4 separate regions of the Mus musculus genome follow, and regions 1, 2 and 3 are each reported to be linked to region 4. The links are microRNA targets in miRTarBase. Many come from high-throughput screens and were not tested one by one. Region 4 holds a microRNA gene; each other region holds the end of a gene's coding sequence.
The links. Region 4 holds the annotated microRNA mmu-miR-19b-3p (UGUGCAAAUCCAUGCAAAACUGA, at 799-821, opposite strand). A microRNA usually pairs through its seed, bases 2 to 8, with sites in the 3' UTR of a target mRNA and lowers its output. Matches are read on the target gene's strand: a 7mer-m8 pairs with bases 2 to 8, a 7mer-A1 pairs with bases 2 to 7 and ends in A, and an 8mer does both.

Region 1 (3,013 bases), not on the chromosome of region 4:
TGCCATGGCAGAGGGGCAACACTGGCTCCTCGTTCTCATTGTTCCCACACGAGTCATGAGGGTCCTCGCTGCCATGGCAGAGGGCAACACTGGCTCCTCGAGCATGAGGAAGGTGTTCAACCCTGAACTGGAAAAACGGTTTGGTATAAAATCACATAGGTTATGGTATGGAATGTCATTTTTATTTTAAATAAATGAAAAACACCAGCAAGTAAAACCATTTCCTTACACTTAATGCTCTTCTGCATTAAAAAAAAAATCCCTTAAGAAGTGCTTGTGTGGCTTTTTGTTTGTTTGTTTGTTTTTTTTCGAGACAGGGTTTCTCTGGCTGTCCTCAAACTTAGAAATCCACCTGCCTCTGCCTCCCAAGTGCTGGGATTAAAGGTGTGACCACCACGCCCGCTGTATTTTTTCTTTTTTAAACACAGTATAGTCTAATACATTAGTCTTGAACTCAAGCATTTGAATATGACCTTGGATTCCTGATTCTTCTGTCTGCCTGGACTTCAGGCATGATCTGCCAGAGCCACCCACTACCCTGTTCTTGACGACATCTTACTGGATCCTTGTGCACTGAATTGAGCTCACCTGCCCTCCAACAAGCCAAGGAAGATGTCAAGAGCAGCCCACCCTGAGGACAACACTTCAGCCTACTCACGCTCACAGGAAAGCAGCACGCTGGCGAGACATGACGTTCATCTACAGATGGTCTCACTCATACAAACAACCCGCTGAGTAGAAGTCAGCTGTTTGAAGAGTCCCTTACAAAGAGTCTTTACTAAAAAACTAACAAACTAGCAGGAGTGCTACTTAATGCAGTCCTAAATGCTGCAGAAGGATTGATCTGTTTTTTAAAAAAGATTTATTCAACACACACACACACACACACACACACACACACACACACACACACACACACACACACACACACACACACACACGAGGGAATTGAATCCATTACAGATGGATGTGAGCCACCGTGTGGTTGCTGGGAACTGAACTTAGAAAACTGTTTAGGAAAAATAGCCAAGTGCTCTTAACCGCTGTGCCACCCCTCCAGCCCCTTTATCTGTCTTGATAAAGGTTGTTAATAACTGCAGCCTGAGTGCTGCAGTGGACCAGACACTACAGTTTGACACATAGATGCCTTCCTTCTTCAAGCCTTCAGGAATATGAAGCATACTCACATTTCTTACACACTAACACAGGCCACACTCATGAAGATCACAACTGTGAAGACTCGAGTTACCCACCTGCTTGCTGCCGTTCCTCTCGAGAGAAAACACAGAGTCATTTCAGGTAACTTCCATTTAATTTAACATTTATTTTCATTTATAACGAGATGTCACATTTTCTACATTAAAATATAATCATGCTGACCCCCCCACTACCCCCTCAGAGAAAAACAACTGGAAGGTGGAATGCACAGAGTGGGGAGTCATGGCTGCACCTGAGAACACACAGCGCAGAGACCCAAACAGCAGACATGGTAGAGGCACACAGAATACAGCCAAGAGCTCAAGCCAGGAAGGGACAGGAATGAAAGAAACATTGCTACATGTGCCACAAGATCACCCAGAAAAGGTAGAGCGGACTCAGAAAGCCTGGGGATTGAACAGAGTTTAAAGCAAGTCGTCTCACGGCCCACCTCAGGATCTGGAGGGCAACGCAGAAACCGAAACCACCAGAAACGCGTCAAGAGGAGGGTGGGATGTAGGGTTTTTCTTAATTGTACCCAAGCCTTTTCCAAGTCTCAATTCTCCTGTGACTGTAGCCCAGTGGGGGTCGTCAGCACAAGGCGTGCCACCACTGCAGGAGAACGCAGGCTGTGCAATGTTACCTGATTCTCTGTGGGCCTCAGAGAAAGTCGCCACGCAGGAATTCCCAACTCACAGCACTGGCAGAACGAAACTCTTTTCGTAAGAAAACACAGCAGACAGTAAAACCCATCTGCACAGAGCAGAGGACAGACCCACAGGTACACTAGCACTCCAGAGGGAGGCTCAGCCAGAGCCTCGTGGTTCTTCTGAAAGGAGAATTCTTCCAGTCTCCACTTTGCCCCTAAATTTGAGACTGAAGCATTTTAGCTTCAGAACAGTGATACTCTTAAGGGAGTTGAGAGGTAGGGTTTGGGAGACCCAAACAAGACATTATTAGCAACTAGCTCTCCACTATCTGTACAAATAGATACATCAGTAAGCAAACTTCACCCCTCAGCTTCTTTAAAGAAAGCACTAAAGGTGAGGTTTCTGAGCAGGGATCTCTCAATCTGTTAGCAGTTTAAACTGTCAACACTGGCACAATAGTTACCTAGCCTTTGTTTTTAATTACAGGGTAACAGGTAAACTCCCACTCACAGGTGGGATGGAGGAGTGCAAAAGGAATCAGGAAACAGAACCAGTACTTCACAAGAGGGTCACGCCACACAAGCAGCAGCAGCTACTAGTGTTTTGCAGAGTCTCGAGGGTAAAATTCGCTCAGGGTGCTCTGAGGGATTCTCTTCAGCATTTCTTTGGGGAAGATTCGAAGCAACTGCCAGCCAATGTCCAAAGTCTCATAAACAGTTCGGTTTTCATAGGGACCTAGAATATTAATACTGAATTAACCACAGGGCACTGCCAACTGACCCGTGTCACTCAGCACTCTGTGGTCTAGCAAGCAGGGTAGGCATAAAATACAGGAAGGAAAACAGGGGTGAGGATTTGAGATGCAGAAATGAGGGTACAAAGTAACACAGAGATCAGGGGTGAAGAGAGGCCCACGGGGCAGTGCTGGTGGACATGAGGGATGAGATGGACAGAGACAGATAAGGTCCTTAAACAATGCAAACTAGACCAGCATTCTGTTCAAAGGTCGGCACAAAGTAAACTGTAGGACTCAGGAAAAAAGCTAGGCTTGCAAGAATCCATGGAGATTCTGAGGAAGCCTTAAATGCCAAAAAGCAGACTATATTACAGGCCAATGGTTTCAAAACTTAAATTTAAGACAGGGTTTTATTGAGTGGCCCAGGCTA
Region 2 (3,013 bases), not on the chromosome of region 4:
ATTTGAGAATCTAAAAATCATTATTCCATAACCATTAAAACAAATATCCATGTAAGTAGTAGTTGAGAATTAATGGTTCCGAGCATATAGTGCCTGATGTTTAATTTGTGTGGCAGCTTTGATGACAGTAGTCATCAAGGTATCCTAAAAGGAATCTAGCATAGTGCCTTGGACCTATGAACAGATTTAAAAAAAAAAAAAAAACTCCACTGTTAATGTAAAAGAAGGGTCCCCAAGGCTCCCCCACCTCACTGCATTTCTACTCTTCACAGGGCCCCAATCCTGAAGACTCAGACTGTGACAGCACTGAATTGGACAACTCCAACAGCATTGATGCCTTGCGGCCCCCAGCCTCCCTTCCTCCATGAAAGACACTCTTATTCCTTGTACATAGAGAAATATTTATATAAATAATATATATGCGCCACATAATCAACAGATAGATGGGGCTTTCTTAGCCTTAAGCCAGGCTTGAGAGTGAACGACGCCCCTGACCAATTACCGAATAAGTTCTGGGGACACTGGCAGCTGTGGAAATGAATGACTCCGAGTACTACCCTAGAGCTATAAAGAAAGGAAGCTGGCCCCTTCTTGCTTCACCCCATTCCTTATGTTGAACAAGCAAGTAGGCAATAGAAAAGCCAGGCTTGTCTCTATACTGTCTATCCCTGAACACTGGAGGGGCAGGTAGAGGATTCACTTAAAACTGCACTTTTATTTTCCGTTTACTGTTTACACATTTTGCACTTGGGAGGAGGGAAAGAAACTAAGGCTGGGTCATCCCTCTGAGGTTTCTCAGGTGGCAATGTAACTCATTTCTTTGTTCCTGTTTCTCTGCCCAAACCCTGGCTTTGGGCCAGACGACTAACAGCATGTGATGGCTCAGGCTGAAGAACTGGGGTGCTGTTAGTCCCCACTGTTATCTTGGTGCCTGGTAGGGGTGGGGACTGTCATATTGTAACCCCTGTGAACAACCTTGAAATATAACCACTCCATGCAGGCCCAACTGTCGAGGGTTTTCTTGGTGAATGAGTAGAGTGGTATAATACATGGTTTCAACTTGGATTTAAGATTTTATCTGAGGAATTTGGACAAGTTATTTTCTAAGTTAACATAAATGATAGCAGGTAAACTTTTCTAAATGATTTCAGAACAAGGAGGTCTCAAAACACCTATGGAGAAAACTAAATGAACAATTACTAGAACTTTAAAGTATGCAAGGTAGAACAAGGGGCAGCCATTCCCAAGTTTACTATCCTTACTATCCACGAGTTCCTGCCCAGCTCCATAAATGCACCAGCTGCTCTACAATCCTAGGGTAAGTGTAATTGTCAATCTCCGTAAACAAGTTTTCAGAGGCTACCCAGTATCATGGAGGGGGAGGTGATTGAGGGCAAATTAAAAAAATTGGAGTGGTAAAAAAGGGAAGAAAGTCCATTAATTCTATTGAAACTGAATCAGGGCTCTCTGGAAGTTAAAAGGTATAAAAATAACATCAGACAGGAACAACACCCACGTAAGTCACTGTGGCATCCAGTTTCTATTCACAAAGAAAAAGCTCCAGTCCATCTTTTAATTTTTTTTTTTGAAAAATTCCTGACATTACAGAACTAAACTGAAATGTATTAATAATCCACTCTTACATTTCCATGACAAACAAAAATTCATGAGCCAAACAAAAACAAAAACCAAAAAACAAAAGGGGGAGAAGCTTATAAAACTAAATATGGATATCTCAGCGTAACTGCTGAACAGAGAAAGGAATTAAAACACTTTAATTAAAAAATCATGAGTGGATGATAAAGTGTGTAGAAACTGAAAATTTACAAACTATTTTAAAACCTGGAGTCGCTGACTGTTCAGAAACTACACAGATGGATCATGGGTGGTGAACAGCAGGATTATGGATGGGTCTGCTCTGTTCTAGCTGCTCCCCATGCCACCTGTCTCCGAGGAAAGCCTGTAAAACACAAAGAAGAATAAGTCAGCTTACCTAGCTACAATTCATCACACCAAGGTATTTCAAGGTTTCTTAGATTAGCTAGTACCATAGTGCACAAGGTTGTTTATGTAACACCACTACAACCAAGGTTCCTGAGGTGTTCTCAGAAGAACATAACAAATGATGTTAAGTTGGTGACACTGTCTCTTCACGTTTTACTCTTTGCAAACTGAAAGCATTTCTAGAGAACATTAGGCTTCAAGGAGTTGATCCTGTCGTGTTTACACTAGAACAGCCCACCAATGTGAAGGAACTTTGTGTTGGGAGCCTAACATTTAAAGATATTATGTAATTTTAACAATACTTAAAGGGAGGAGCAAGAATAGGAACTATAGTGAAAAATTGAATTATTGTTTTCAAGCTTATAATTTTAGGACAAATACCAACAAAAAAACAAGTATCAAAGCTTCAATTCAGTTCCTTAGCTCACTCTTCAAAATCCAAAACCTGTGGCCTTACTGGTACCAAATTCTCCTTGTAAACATACCTGGCTACAGTGCCTTTCTACTTGTTTCAAATAGGTCATTTGAGGTCCTGGAATACAATTAAGCTTTGAGAGAAAGGCATTCAGTGTACATTTCATTATCACTGGGTAGCAGCAAAATGCCTCATTCTGAACACAACTAGAGGTGTCTCAGGTCCACACCACAAGCTTAACTTCACAAAGAGCCAACTGACATCCATTTGTGATGTTTGGCTTAATACCATGTGCACTAAATGTACAAATACCACAGGGGAAGGGGTATATCCCGGAAACTAGAAGTCATTCTTCAATTAAAATATGTTTTCTTTAACGTCAGAAATTATTTGTCCTGTCTATGTTACTACCGTAATGTGCCTAAACTTTAAATATACATGTGAGATCTCAAACTATGCAGAGTGAAGCCTCTCATAGGTAAAATGCAGCATAGAGGGGAATCTTTAGTTTTTTCAAAAGGAAGGAAGAGATGTTCAAGCAATGAGGACCTGCCCACAATATAAAAATGCCAGAAGTGGCAATGTCCACCTGGA
Region 3 (3,014 bases), not on the chromosome of region 4:
ATAAGTTGAGTAGGATCCCCTTCCCGAGAGTGGCACTCCGGCATTCAGTTCAAGATGACCTTCATTATAAACTGTAAGGACAATCCGTAGTAATGGGCTTAGGAATGGCAGGGCCAGAGTCCTTCGGCAAGTCCTGCTAAGGAGAGTCCACACAGCATTCTTCCTGTTTTCTCAGCATGTCAAGTTGAAGCCAGGACTTGAACCTAAACCCTAGTTTACAGAGAACAGCCTTAACCACTCCTCCAGATATGTGTGCATCCGGGGTGTGTTCATCCTTACAACAGAGTGTACCTCCCTCACCGTCACACTGGTTGTGACTCTGCGCAAGTTTGTGAGCCTCATCTTTTCTATCTTGTACTTCCAGAACCAGTTCACTATGTGGCACTGGCTGGGCACCTCGTTTGTCTTCATTGGAACCTTAATGTACACAGAGGTGTGGAAAAACCTCGGGACCACAAAAAGTGAGCTGCAAAAGGATGACAAGAAGGACTGAGGTCTGCCTGGGACAGACAGACAGACGGTGTTATGTGAGAGCGGCCTCTGCTGCAGGTCTGGCCACCATTTCACTTTAGCTGATGCCAAATTACCAGAGTATTGAAGCAGAAAGGCTCCAGAGCTTCCTCCAAAAGGATGGGACTCATCTGCTCTCACGAGTCTGCATTTGTAGATTCCACATAGGCATCCCTGAGATAGAATAAACAAAACAAGCAAGGCTACCAGGCAGACCGTCGGGCAGCCTCTGCATTTGCTTTTCTATTTCTTTGCCAGAACATCAGAACCATATTTGTTGAATTCCAAGTCTCAGAGCTTCTAGTTTTCTACCTGTGTCGCACTTGTTGCTACCGATGCCTTTTTGCTATGTACCTCTTTCCTCCCGTCACCCCTGCACACTTAAGCACTTTGCAGCACAGCCAACATTCCAGGCACAATCAGGCACTGAGTGATCCAGTGGACATGCGAAAAATTAGACCCCAGGAGTGATGAGGCCGGACTCCCTCCAGCGTGTTGGTGTTGGGAGAGAAGCAGTTGTCCCCATGAGCAGATCTGTGAGCTGGATGCCGGTGATGCTGGAGTAGACGGCTGGATCCCACCACGCACATTTCACGTTATTTGATTAGTCAATGCAAAGATCACACACTTCTTTCACCTGTTGCTTTCTGTAGTTAGAGCAGTCCTGCAGCGCTCATTGCACATTAGAAAGGAAGAAAACTTGAAAGTGGATCGAGAAGAGGGAGACCTTTCCTTCCATCTCCCACGTGAAGCCCCTTGGCCTGTTTACGGAGATGGAGAAGGAAGTGTGGCCCAATACAGCTCACTCTTTCAGCACCCTGAGAGACTGTTGCCCCTGTGAACCCAGCCACACACTTCCATGGGACTCCTGTGGGTTTCAAATATGTGTCTGTGAGAGGCGTTAAGACCTGGTAGCCAGAAGATACTTCTGAGAATTGTCACCTGTCAAGTCATCGATGATGATTGATTGATACACAGGCGTGAGTGTGCTCAAACCCCAGCTGCGGCAGGGTGAAGTCTTCTTGTTCCATAGATATGGGACTGCTTTTGGGTGTGCCTGGGAGGTGGCATGACACAGCATGTTTACATACAGAAACAGGCCTGGCTCTTTTCCGCTGATCACTCTGAAGGTCTGATTGTCCTCTCTTGGATCCCCTTGAGGAAGAGTAACCCTGTCACACAGCATGTGGCGCTTGTGTGCCCTTAGCTGGATTGTATGTGATTGAAGAACAAGAACATTGTGTTGCTTTCTTTCCTCGTCCCCACTTAGGGCCAGACCCTCATTACCCTCACCTAGCCATCTGCTCCTCTGCAAACAGCTACACACAATGTTTCTCTCGCACAGACGACAGCCTTCCATTCTTCCACTATGTGCTGACTGTGCTCAGACTGAGGAGTGGCTCTCCATCTCCTCGGCTCACTGTAGCTCTTTGTTGCACCCTCTGAAGATGCTCTTTGATGGGTCTGAACAGCAGCAGCAAAGAGAACTATCCCAATCCTCTGGGTCCCCTGGGAAGGCAAAGAGAACTGTCCTAATCCTCTGGGTCCCCTGGGAAGGCAGTTAAGACTTTTTTCTGTTACATTAAATGCAGATACTGTTTCTCCACCTAAGTCCCCAGGTTTGCAGACTGATTGTCATTCTGGCCATTGACAGCTTCCCAGTGCTGGTAATGGTCTGTTCTCAAAGACCTGAATTAGATGTGAACCCATTCACAGTCCCAGAAGCTCTGTAGCTACTTTGAAATATGTGGGGTTGCCTGGACCAATGTTGCTATAAATACCAAGTGTTAAAAGCCCCCTTAAAAAGACAGTAATAAAAAGTACTTTTTTCTTCCAGTTTAACAGAAGAATCTGTCCCTCGGGGCTCTTGAGGCTCCATTCTGATTACTCCTAACAGGCTATAACCTTCAGTTACCTAGAGCTTCCCTTTTTATGTTGGGAGAAGTAGCACACAGCTTGTAGTTCCCTGAGACTGGCTGATACAATCTAACTGGACCGGTTAGGGTTTCAGAATGTGTATCCCTTTGTGGGTTTTGTTGAAGGAGATGTAAGAACAGATAAGAGTGCGGGCTCTGCTGGCTCAAGCTAGCAAGTGCCCCAGCTGCTTCCTGCCGTGCAGTAGACAGAAGAAAATGTAACCGGCACTAGTTACAGTTTTGTAAAATTGCCCTTCTAAAGGTTCTGTTTTCCTTCTCATTGTGTATGCTTGTTGCACAGGGCCCTGTGGTTGGACACTTCCCTGCAGTTGAGTACTTCCCCCAAGCTCTCCTCTCCCCGTGTTAGGTCCTGCTGTTCCCCTGAACAGTTTTGCCTTCTACCTTCAGATCGCATACACACCGTGGTTTCATGTCTCTCTACAAAGCTCAGGAGCTACAAATAAGAGCACACATATGCTGTTTGTCCTCCCTACACCAGCTAACCCCTTAATAGGACCATCTCTGGATACATCCATAAAATCACTCTTTATAAAAGTCATTTCTCTTTGCCATTTGTTTGTTTGTTTG
Region 4 (3,014 bases):
CACAACCATCTGGAATGGGGTCTGATGCCACCTTCTGGTGTCTATGGAGACAGCTACAGTGTACTTGTCATATAATAAATAAATAAATAAATAAATAAATAGAATCTTTTAAAAAAGAAAAAAGAAACCCATTTTTTTTCAGACTTATATATCAGCTTTATTTTGCAAATTTCAGGTTTGTTTACATTCAGTGCAATCAAAATGTCAGGATTTCAAATATATTTAAAAATATGTAGTTTTAAAAAATTAGACTCCAAGCTGGGCGTGGTGGCGCACGCCTTTGATCCCAGCACTTGGGAGGCAGAGGCAGGCAGATTTCTGAGTTCGAGGCCACCCTGAGTGAGTTCCAGGACAGCCAGGGCTATACAGAGAAACTCTGTCTTGAAAAACCAAAAAAAAAAAAAAAAAATCCACTCCAAATGTGTTCAAAGCAATGACTAGCTAAAGGATTTTACAATCTTACTATAGCACTGATAGACGGCTGTCCACATAGGTCCTGCGGTTTACAGATGGATACCGTGCAATTTTCCTCCTATTACACCAACCAAAATTGCATCGTGTTCCACCTGATAACAGCAAAACAGTTCATTTCATAATTACAGTCTAACATAACTTACAATACTCAGAAACTAAAAGACGATTAAAAACCCTCTTTCTTCCTCAGGCCGGGACAAGTGCAATACTTTATATCTAACACAAGTAATGCCACCAATCCCCACCTGTGGATGAATGGGCATGGATGCTGAAGATGTGCATAAAGGTGTCCATTACGATGCAGAAAGGTACACATTCCCACAATCAGTTTTGCATGGATTTGCACAGCCATATATTCACATATACGCTGAACTGCAAATCTGCAAAACTAATCGTAAGTAGCAATGTCCTTGCGCTGTAGTTGCTTCAACAAGACCTTGGTTGATCCAGGAGTACTAGAAGTGCTCACACTGCAGTAGAGTGGTATAAAAACTACCTGCACTATGAGCACTTTGGCACTACTAGGATCCGAGCTTGTTCTTCTACACAACTGTATACTACAGTCTCCGCCATCTGTTTCTCGGCGAAACACTGAAAGAGCCTTTGAAACTTGTGCCGTTCAAATCATTTCTCAAGATATGCTTTTCAAATGCAAGGTAAGAAGTAGCCTGTGCGAGAAGGGGCATTTAGGGCAGTAGATTGTAAGCTGCTTCACTAACAGCACTAGATGCACCTTAACACAAGAGACACATTACAAGGAGCAGCTCAAAAACATCCACAATCTAACTATGCAGAAACCAGGGGACTCAGCGGCCTCTGATTAAATCACCATGGTAATGTAAGAAGTGCTGGCACTGCAGTAGAACTCAAAAAGCTACCTGCACTGTTAGCACTTTGACATGGCCAAGGCATACTCCAGGAGTGTAACCTTGAAGTCTTCCACGAACTCTTCTTTGCCAGATCTGCAGACTCACCTGGATAAACACACACACACACACACAGCAAGTAAGTGAACTGTGAGTTACTATTTCTAAAACAAGTTTGCCTTCCGTTAAGAGTGCAAATGGGGTTGTGTTACTTCAAACATTAATAAGCTCAATTATTTACACAGACTTAAACATGAATAACACTGGCAATCTCAGAATGTCTGACTCTTAAGAGTAAGAGGATTTTGGACTCCCTCTCCGTCTAAGGAAATTTGAGATTCGCATCCCAGAAAATTTGCAGAGCTGTAATATCCACCATGGTTTTCTAAGAGGCAAGAGCCCAGGAAAAGATGTAAGCAAAAAAATAAATAAATAACATTAGGGTGAGTACTGACGTCTTGAGCTCATCCAGAGCTTTGGGGAGCCACTCGGAAGGTCTCTATGTTTGATTACATGAAGCATCCCTGCCCCCAGCCCATTAAGAGAAAATGATAGAAATTTCAGAGCCGCTTTAAGAAACAGTTTTACACTCTTCACATACCGCACAGATGGCCTAGAGATGTCACATTTTCATCTATTTCAAAGGGCTCTACTTCTGTTTAAACATTTATGGACCCATTTTCTCCATTAAACCTAAAGAAGTCAGATTAGCTCTTTGGCTTCATGTCATTATCTTCCACAGGAAAAACCTCTCTCATTTCCAAGTGTGTATCTTACCCAGGAAAATGCTGCAGAGGACAGTCTGAGGGGTCACGAGCTCCCTCCCTCCCATGATGGAATGTTTGTGTTGATGGGGGGACACCAATAAACTTCAGGGACACAAAACTTGAAATGTGTTCAATGAGAAAGGATATTTTAAATGTTGGAACTTTTCGAAGCCACTTAGTGACTAAGATAGTTCTTAAAACATTTTAAATATAAATTAGCAAAACTTTTGAAGTAAATATGAAATCTGCTTCCTATAGTGCAAGTATTGGCTTATTATACTTTTCTTCTTGAACTGGGTTCCTACAACTAGAGATTTTTGCCTCCACTAAAAATATATTACAAAACCTGACTCAACTTCGCAAAACCATACCTCAGCCCTCCAGAGAAAGCTCCTTCTAGCTAATACCTTTCTTTAACACATCTGCTCTCCATCATATATACTAGAAAGTCGCTGTACAACTTCTAAAATTGCAAAGAGGACCCAGTCTTTTACCATTTCGGGATTTTCTCTGGTCTATTCCCGCATCTTCAGCAGCGGCTCCAGTAGAGATCTGTGAACCTCCTGGGAACGCAGGGTGTGCTCCAGCCAGTCATGCCACGCGCTTAGGTCTTCAAGACACCTTAGCGGCCACCAAAATTAAACAGAAAGAAACAAAGCATTATGGGAAACGGAGTTCTCCATTCAAAGCCCCCAAAACGCGCCAAGCTTAAGCCTCTCCCTCCATTCTCGGGTTGGTGGGAGGGAAACCAAGGTAGGTCGGGAGTCCTCCCGCCCCACACCCCACGTGCACCCTGGCATTTGACCACCCACAAGTTCTCCAGAAACCTTCAGAGCAACAAGGGAGAGTCCTTTTCTCACGAGTTGCCTGGCACCCCTCAACTACACTCAGGTACTTTGCTTTTCTC

Region 1: miRTarBase lists Atp6v1b2 as a target of mmu-miR-19b-3p. Seed matches in the 3' UTR shown: 7mer-m8 at 2,373-2,379 and 7mer-A1 at 1,828-1,834.
Region 2: the mRNA of Map3k12 is a reported target of mmu-miR-19b-3p. Seed matches in the 3' UTR shown: 7mer-m8 at 741-747.
Region 3: the mRNA of Slc35b4 is a reported target of mmu-miR-19b-3p. Seed matches in the 3' UTR shown: 7mer-A1 at 1,187-1,193 and 7mer-A1 at 2,720-2,726.

Annotation. Positions count from the first base shown.
Region 1 is chr8:69,111,999-69,115,011 of GRCm38, reverse strand. Atp6v1b2 (ATPase, H+ transporting, lysosomal V1 subunit B2) reads right to left here. Exons shown (of 14, transcript NM_007509.3): 14 at 1,294-2,582. The coding sequence ends at 2,443. Among named protein-coding and RNA genes, the nearest start is that of Slc18a1, 24 kb to the right of the region's middle.
Region 2 is chr15:102,497,436-102,500,448 of GRCm38, reverse strand. It overlaps Map3k12 (mitogen-activated protein kinase kinase kinase 12), which reads left to right. Exons shown (of 16, transcript NM_001163643.1): 16 at 273-2,802. The coding sequence ends at 368. It overlaps Pcbp2 (poly(rC) binding protein 2), which reads right to left. Exons shown (of 15, transcript NM_001103165.1): 15 at 390-1,960. The coding sequence ends at 1,924. Among named protein-coding and RNA genes, the nearest start is that of Map3k12, 18 kb to the left of the region's middle.
Region 3 is chr6:34,155,859-34,158,872 of GRCm38, reverse strand. Slc35b4 (solute carrier family 35, member B4) reads left to right here. Exons shown (of 10, transcript NM_021435.3): 10 at 247-2,994. The coding sequence ends at 493. Among named protein-coding and RNA genes, the nearest start is that of Gm13855, 20 kb to the left of the region's middle.
Region 4 is chrX:52,741,193-52,744,206 of GRCm38, forward strand. It overlaps Mir19b-2 (microRNA 19b-2), which reads right to left and starts at 874; the gene lies at 791-874. Mir363 (microRNA 363) reads right to left here and starts at 575; the gene lies at 501-575. Mir92-2 (microRNA 92-2) reads right to left here and starts at 736; the gene lies at 646-736. Mir20b (microRNA 20b) reads right to left here and starts at 1,000; the gene lies at 921-1,000. It also overlaps Mir18b, Mir106a and Kis2.